Callithrix jacchus: one gene and its partner. The protein of the gene in region 1 purifies or fractionates together with the protein of each later gene. This does not show direct contact. Links are inferred from orthologs where the notes say so. Each region holds a gene or a part of one and is shown in the gene's direction. Other genes may lie near its edges.

Region 1 (4,254 bases):
AGCACTTTGGGAGGCTGAAGTGGGCAGATCTCTTGGGCCCAGGAGTTCAAGACCAGCCTGTGAAACAGGGTGAAACCCCGTTTCTACAAAAAACACTAGTCCCAGCTACTTGGGAGGCTGAGGTGGGAGGATTACTTGAGCCCAGGAGGTCGAAGCTGCAGTGAGCTGTGATGGCACCATTGAACTCCAGCCTGGGAAACGGGGTGGATCCTCAAAACAAAAAAATGAAAAACAAGCAAACGAAGAAATGAAAAAAACCTATGGGGTTGGAGTAAATGATCTCTAGGGTCACTTATAATTGATGTATTAGAATATTTGGGAAAAGGGCCTTGGGAATATATGAGGAACACCTGATAGAAATACCTTTATTTCCACAGCAGCTTCGTGTGTCTCATTGATCCCCATGGCATCACTTTCCACATGTAGTGGGCAGGCATTGTTGCCTCTATTTAATAAATGAGGAACCAACAGAGGCTGAGGAGAGGAGTTGCCTGATGCCCCATGCTTGGTGGCAGAGCCAGGATCAGCAGTGGGGCAGTGGGGCAGGGAGACCTGACCAGGCAGAGAGTGGATGAGACCTGGGGTAAGTAGTGGCAGGGACCCAGTCAGGACAGAAAACGAGGGTTAAGGCTTACTTTGAGGTTTGGATTGGACAAGTAAATTCCCAAGAAAGAGGGAGGCGTGGAGGCTAGTGAAGAACTCCGGAGTAAATAAAGGGGAGTGCCAGTAAGGGACGCGGAGTACCTGCGGTGTGGCAGACACTTACCTGTATCTCTCCGGTCTGAACGAATCCTCACAGGAACCCCAGGAGACAGGTTATCTCCACTCTGCAAATTGGAAAACAGACCCAGAGAGGTTCAGTTATGTGACCAAGACCACCCAGCTAAGAAGCTAAGCATTCTGAACTGGAACCCAGTGACTCTGACTACCAAGCTCTGGGTCTCTTCACTGCTGTGTTCCATTTGGGAAAAGCTGGTGATGGGGGAAGGGGCTTATTGCACCCTGGTGTTTGGTTGGGAGTGGTCGGATTGGTGGGTTCGGATTGGTGGGTTCAGGGTGCAAGGCAGCCGGATCTGGGATTCCTGTGCTTCTGACTGGGGCTTACAAAGAGTTAACCCGCCTCCCGCCTCCTCCTCCAGCTCTTCCTGGTGTGCTGTTGCAACACTGCCTCACTCTGCCTCACTGTTCTCCTCCCACCTCCTCTCTCCTCCTCTCTAATTTCTCAGAATTCTCTGCACCCGGGCTCCAGTTCTAGCCTTTGGGGTTCAAGATCACTGGGACCGGGCCGTGGTCTCTATGCCCGAGTCTCAACCCTTAACTGTCATCCCAAGACACTTGTGACGTCCTGGACAGACCGAGACCAGACTCGGGAAGCCTCCTGCGCTGCCACTGCCACACTGCCCTGAGCCCAAATGGGGGAGTGAGAGGCCATAGGTGTCTGGCATGGGCCTCCCCATCGTGACTGACCTGCTGCTGCCACTGGTGAGACCAGGGAGAAAGGGAAGAGTGGGTTGGTGGGCGAGGCCCTGCCCGGCCAGCGTGGGCACTATCCAGGAGGGGGCTGAGCCTCTCCTGCCCCAGCCTGGCTCTGGCACGAGCCTCAGGCCAGCAGGTCCTAACGTCAGCCGCTGCCAGTGTGGGGTTCCCCATTCATCCGCCTTTTGGAGTAGGGGCTGCGCTGAGGCAGGGCAGGGGAACTGGAGAAGTTCGAAAGGGAGAGAGTAAAAGGAAGCCCTGGCCCCTGACAGCGTGGGAGTTTGCCGGAGTTTGCCGGAGTTTGCCGGAGCCGCGGGAATGGGGGCAGGTGATAGGTCCAGGGTGGGGCAGATTTGGCGGGGAAAGGAAAGGAGTGGGAGTAGGAAGGTTAGTGCTCCGGGAGCCCAGACAGTTCTGAATTCTGTCCCTGTCCCTGTGGTCAGCTGGCTGGCCTGGAGTGTGTCGGGCTGTGGGGAGGCCAGGTTGCCTATGGAGGCTGGCTCAGCACCGCCTGTAGGGCAGGAGTAAGGTGGCTAGGGAAGTGGGGAGAGTGAGTCCAGGCGTGACGCATTGGTGTGGTGGGTTTGGGATGCTCGTGGGGGGAGGTATTTGAGAATGGGCTGGGACACTGGATGGGGCAGGGCAACCCAGTAAACAGTGCCCCAGTGTCCCGGCCTCTCACCTGGGGGCATTCCTTACCCTTCTGCCTGCTGGTAGGCAGGTGCTTCTGTGGGACTGACTCTTCACAGGGAGCTAGCACTACCCCCACCTGGAAAGTGTCCTTGGGCCTGTCCTCCAGCCTCCCCTCCCCCACCCCCTGCTTCCCACAGACCTAAACAACAATCCCTTGGTTTCTGATTCTACAGTTCAGTTTGGGGAAGTTGGTAGAAAGTTGTTTCGTCACTGGAAAATGTCCCTTTCTCTGACCTCGGCCTTGTTTCAATGTATCCTTGATCACCCTCCATGTCTTGGTCAGGGAATCATCCCGTTCAGTCGCCCTGGGCCCATCAAATCGGGCAGATTTTCTCTGCCCTGTTGTGGCCTTGCCCTGCCCGGCCTCTGAAAGCTGTGCCTACCTCCTCGTTCTTATGCTCTTCCACTCCCACCATTCCCTTCTTTCCAACAATCTCCCCACACTCTCCACAGACTTCCAAGAGCCTCTTTTTTAAAATCTTTTCTCTGTAGTACCCTTGCACCTCCTCTCTACTCCGCTCTGGTCCCACATTTCCAGCCCCAGGTCCCCAAGCGGCACGTCTCCGTCAGGGTCTGACTCTTCTTCTCCCTCCTCCTGTCTCCTTAGTTTCACCCCATCTTCCCTTCTCCCCACTGTCCTTCACCCAGACAGCTGCCCTGACATCCTGCTTCTGTTTTCTGCTTGGGGTGGCCCTGGCTCTCCCACGTACCAGTGGCATGAGCAAGAGCAGGTCTTATAACCTAAGCTTCCATGCTTTCGTTTCTTTATCTCCAAAATGGGTGTCATAGTCATGACCTCATACTGTTCTGAAAATTGACTAGACTGATACATGCTAAGCGTTCATTCGATTTAATTAAGCGCGTGCTCTGAGCTAGACACTGTGATAGAGAACAAAATCCCTGCTCATAGCTTTGTCAATCGGGGGAATAGGCTGTAGCAAGTAGAAAGCACTCAATAAAGGTTGTATGTTGCTCTGATTAGTAGTAATTACTCGGTGGCTGCCTGTCTGGAAAACAGAGGCTAAAGGTAGCAGGAACAGGTAAAGGAAAGTGCCTGAGGCCTGGGTGCTTCAACCCAGGTGGGATTATGTTGCCTAAGGGATAGAAGCCTGGTCTGGAGTTGGGGGAAAGGGGAAACCAAGAGAGTGCAACATCTTTCTGAATTTCTCACCATTCACTGGGCAATGCAGAGCTCACAGTGTGTGATCGTGTGTGTGTGTGTGTGTGTGTGTGTGTGTGTGTGAGAGAGAGAGAGAGAGAGAGAGAGGTGGGGTAGGGGACTAGAGAAGAATGATACAGGAGAGAGTGTGGCAAAGCAAACGGGATTTTGCTGCTCTCCACGAGCTTACAGCCTAGGAACCAAGACAGCTTACAGTGAAAAATGATTTCAGAGCAATCCCGAGGAAAATGCATGGTGATGTGGTGTCCTGAGCAGCAGTGGAAGGAGGAAGAACTGGGGAGCGAGATGGGCCTTTGACCACGGCCCTGCCTTGCTTAGTAGGTCTCAGCTCCAGCTCTCAGTGTCACAAAATTCAGGAGCTTCCCCAGGCTGCTTCGGTGTCCTTCACTGTGCAACTGGAGTCTCCCTATATAGATTTCAGGGCCTATGACTGTCTTTGACCCAACTGAGAGCTCTTTTTCGTTTGTTTGTTTTGAGATGGAGTCTCACTCTTGTTGCCCAGGTGGGAGTGCAATGGCGTGATCTCGGCTCACCGCAACCTCCACCTCCCAGGTTCAAGTAATTCTCCTCCCTAGTAGCTGGGATTATAGGCCTGTGCCACCATGCCTGGCTAATTTTGTATTTTTTTTAAGTAGAGACGGGGTTTCACCATGTTGGTCTGGCTGGTTTTGAACCCCTGACCGCCTTGGGTGATCCACCCGCCTTGGCCTCCCAAAGTGCTGGCCGAGAGCTCTTGAGAGCACGAGCTGTGTATTACCCACCTCGGCCTCCCTAGCACCCACACAGGACCTGTCACATAAACTGTGCCCCTTAACTATTTGCCGAATGAATTAAAGAACAAGAGATGGGTCAGATGGGATGAGGGAGGGAAAGCCTCATAGAAAAGTGGATATGAGACTGACATC
Region 2 (3,815 bases), on another chromosome or scaffold:
CATAGACATTCTACAAAAATTTGCAGAGTTATTACTTGCTCTTTCAGAGGAAAGTAAAAGGGCATTTCTTGGCATCTGGGTAGAAATTAAAAATATTCTGCAACTCTTTATAATATGAATCCTTGGGACTTTAAAAAACTTACAAATTGTTTAGATAAGTATTTTAAAGGACTAAAACTTTGGGGTTTTTTTATATATAGGTATTTGGTTAACGAAAACATACACATAAAACACATTGTTTACTTTTCTCTCTTTTTTTCTTTTATGCACCTGTGACAGAGTAAAAATAGTCTCCACATACCTTCTTTACTCTCCCCCAAGCTCCCACCCCAGCACATTAGTCTTTACAGAAGAGGTTTCCCTTAGGAAATCAGTACAGTCTTCAGTTATTTCATTGTCTTGATACTGGCTTAAAGCATTAAAACATCCCTTCTGGGTATAACTTGTCACTCTCAGGTCTAATCTGATATACTCTACATAGGTTCCAACTCTTAAAATCACTGTTCTTGCTAGTGTATCTTATCTCTACTCCTAAGCTTAAACTGATTTCTATTTCCCCAGGTCACTGATAAAATAATGATTAAGCTTTTACTTTTCCTGAGGCTATTATCTTAGTTACCTGCCGTAACTAATGAAGAAATCACTTAGCCTTTTTTCCTGGTTATGAATATTCAGTCGTCCATTTCCCACTGTATTAACAGAGTTGAATTATTAAAGGAGACTCAAGAGAATCACAGCTCTTAACCAGAACAAACTGCCAAATAATCCAAAGGTTATAGGCAAGCATCAGGTACAGCCAAAGCATTCTTTTCCCAAAAGAGCTTGAACACATCTGATGCAACTCCCAAAAGTATCTTTTTTCTCCTCATTACTAGGTGTTTTGGCTTTGGAATAAATGATTAGTTATTAAACAGTATATGGAGAAATAGCTTACGAAAGGAAGTCATTTCCATTTTCTAACATCTTTTACATTGCACTAATTACACAGCTTAACTACTATCCCCAATCTTCTACCCCATAAATTTTATGTTTGTTTAATCAACCTAGTTCAACCAGATATATCCTTCTAAAATCATTTATAGATAGAGATTCTCCTTTTGCTAGTAAATACAATTAACATATTTATAGAAGGTCTGGTCTAGGTCATTTATTCCAGGCCTCTCCATTATTAGATTCATCTTGCAAATTGTCTTTAAAGCCCCTGGTATACAAGTTGGACTTTAGAATCAGAATTGATTTCAATTCAGAAAGCACTGAGGAAAAGAAAATTCGTTGGAATGACTATGTTTTTGCATACAATTGGGTATACATGAATACCTGCTTATTGTCAGTGGAAAACCTTAGCGTCAGTGGAAAACCTACAGATTCTGTGGTCAGGAAGAGTTCCTCAGAATGGATCTAAGGAAGGTACCTGATGATCTAGGGAGATGTTTTATATACTATCAAGTTGTGCTTGTGCCCATATTTTATCTTTTACAAGTTTACTCACATGTACATTAGAAATTAATGTTTTTAGTCTTAACTGTGTGAAAGTAAGCCTACAAAGATACTTTAAGTTCAGATTTCAGTGAGCCCTGAATTTCATGTTCAAGGCTGGTGAACTTTTGAAGTCAAATAAAGGAGTACTAACATAAAAATCATTCAGGAAAATTATCTTGAATTATCAGAAATTATCTTGACTTCTTTTTTTTTTCTTTTTTTTTTTAGAGACAGGGTTTCACCATGTTGGTCAGGCTGGTCTTGAACGCCTGACTTCAGCCTTTCAAAGTGCTGGGATTACAAGCGTGAGCCACCGCACCCGGCCTTGATATCTTGAATATACCAGTATAAAACAAGGAAACCAGTTACAGAGTTCTTATCATTTTCTTGGGTAAAAAGTATAAGAGTTTGAACAAAACATTGAGATGGGGGTAAAATTTTTTTTTGTTGAACTACCTACAAAGGTAAACTGGATTTAGCATTCTTTTCACTGGAATGATTATGAGTCTTTTTGGTATTATGGAACTGTGAGTAGTAGTTTATCTGACTTATTTTAGTCACACTGGACTAAAAGAGAAGAAATTTCTAAATAACCTCTTCAGATATAAAAAGTTTTTAAAACTTAGAATTAAAATGAATTCCTATGTATTGCTACTGGATACTACTACAGTGTGATTGTGGAAATTATATTTGCACGTTCTATGTGAATAGAAATGGCCATTGCTATTTCTGTTTGTCATGAAAAGCAAAATCTTGTAAGTGTATGCTACTTGGTGATTGTGGTTGATTAATAGTGCACCTAGGAAAGTCAGAATCTTAAGTTCAGAAAATTTTCCAGAAATCTTTCATTAGGTTATTTAGCTGTAAGAGATTTTTATTCCTCCCACACATACATATTCTAAACATAAAAATTGTTTTGAGATTGAACATTTTTAGAAGTATCAAAATAGAGATTTAAATTAAGGACCATTTTTTTCCTTCTATATTAGCCTATTTTCTTTAATTAAATTACCTAGTGTTACTATTTTTTTAAGTAATACATATTTATGATTAAACTCCCATTTCAGGACACCATAATGTTGACCTACTAGAAGTCTTTTAAACCCCACATTTTATTTTGGCCAGAGAGAAGTATGGTCAGGAAAGATTATGGAGCTAGACATGAAGACATCAAAATGTGAGTCTGGCAGCCTTCCAAAGAGAGCTAGGTTATGGCCAATTAATTTCTGCTTATATTACTCCAAACTGTTAGGCTTTTATAGTGACCAAGTAAGTTGATCATTTCACAAAGTTGAATGATAACATTCATTTTGCTTAATCTTTTCCATTTCCACAAATGTCTCTTCTTTTATTGTAGAATTTTTTTTAATGTTTGGCCTTAACAATTTTTGATATTTTTGTTTTTTTAAAACAGCTTACTGCTGGTTGCAGGGGGGACAGTTCTAAAAATTTGTGATTTTGGTACAGCCTGTGACATTCAGACACACATGACCAATAACAAGGGGAGTGCTGCTTGGATGGCACCTGAAGTTTTTGAAGGTAAAATGGCAAAAGTATGGTATGTTTGATAATCTCTCTCATTCCTTGTGAATTCAATATGTGTTTATAGATTTTCCCCATTCCTGGGTTTTATTTCTGCATAATACATCATTTTAAAGTATACAATGAAGTCTAAGGAGGTATTAAATAGTGTTATGTCCTAAATTTTATAGTAAGATGTAAATCTTCTGTGCAGGTTCAAGCATATGTACAGTTGATCCTCATTATTCACCAATTTCATAATTGCAAAATTGCCTATTTGCTAACCTTTATTTGTAACCCCAGAATTAATACTCACAGTGCTTTCATGGTTATTTGCAGACAGTGCTTTCATGATTATTCGCAGACAGTGTAATTTTGAGTCATCTAACACATGTTTCTAGCTGAGGTTAAACAAGATAATGCTCTTCCATCTTGTTTCAGGTCTCATGCTATAAACAGCTGTCCTTTTTGTACTGTTTAGAGCCCTACCTTTTTCATTTTTGTGATTTTTGTTGGTAATTTTGCTATTTAAAATGGCCCTCAAGCGTAGTACTGCCTAAGTATAAGAAGGCTATGATGTGTCTTAACAGACGCTATACATGTGTTAGATTATCTTCATTTAGGCATGAGTGATAGCAATGTTGGCTATGAGTTCAATGTTAATGAATCAACAGTATATATGAATAAGGTGTCTTTAAGCAGAAATACATGTGAAACAAAGTTATATTGATCAGTTAACAAAAATGTAGTGACCAGAGGCACACAGCAGCATAACCCTTTATTTTCCCTAGGAGCGATGATTTGGTGTTCACTAA

The links.
Region 2: the proteins of TNFRSF1A (region 1) and MAP3K7 purify together in Homo sapiens (affinity purification with western blotting; 7 studies listed by BioGRID, with this or other methods). This does not show direct contact. The link is inferred for Callithrix jacchus from reciprocal best matches to the Homo sapiens genes TNFRSF1A and MAP3K7.

Annotation. Positions count from the first base shown.
Region 1 is NC_133510.1:19,948,112-19,952,365, reverse strand, and holds the start of TNFRSF1A (tumor necrosis factor receptor superfamily member 1A), read left to right. Parts: upstream 1-1,171; 5' UTR 1,172-1,443; coding exon 1,444-1,482; intron 1,483-4,254. Other genes in the region: uncharacterized protein LOC144577746, read right to left, coding at 767-827, 930-962.
Region 2 is NC_133505.1:96,646,023-96,649,837, reverse strand, and holds part of MAP3K7 (mitogen-activated protein kinase kinase kinase 7), read left to right. Parts: intron 1-2,893; coding exon 2,894-3,018; intron 3,019-3,815. UniProt on the Homo sapiens protein: Serine/threonine kinase which acts as an essential component of the MAP kinase signal transduction pathway. Plays an important role in the cascades of cellular responses evoked by changes in the environment.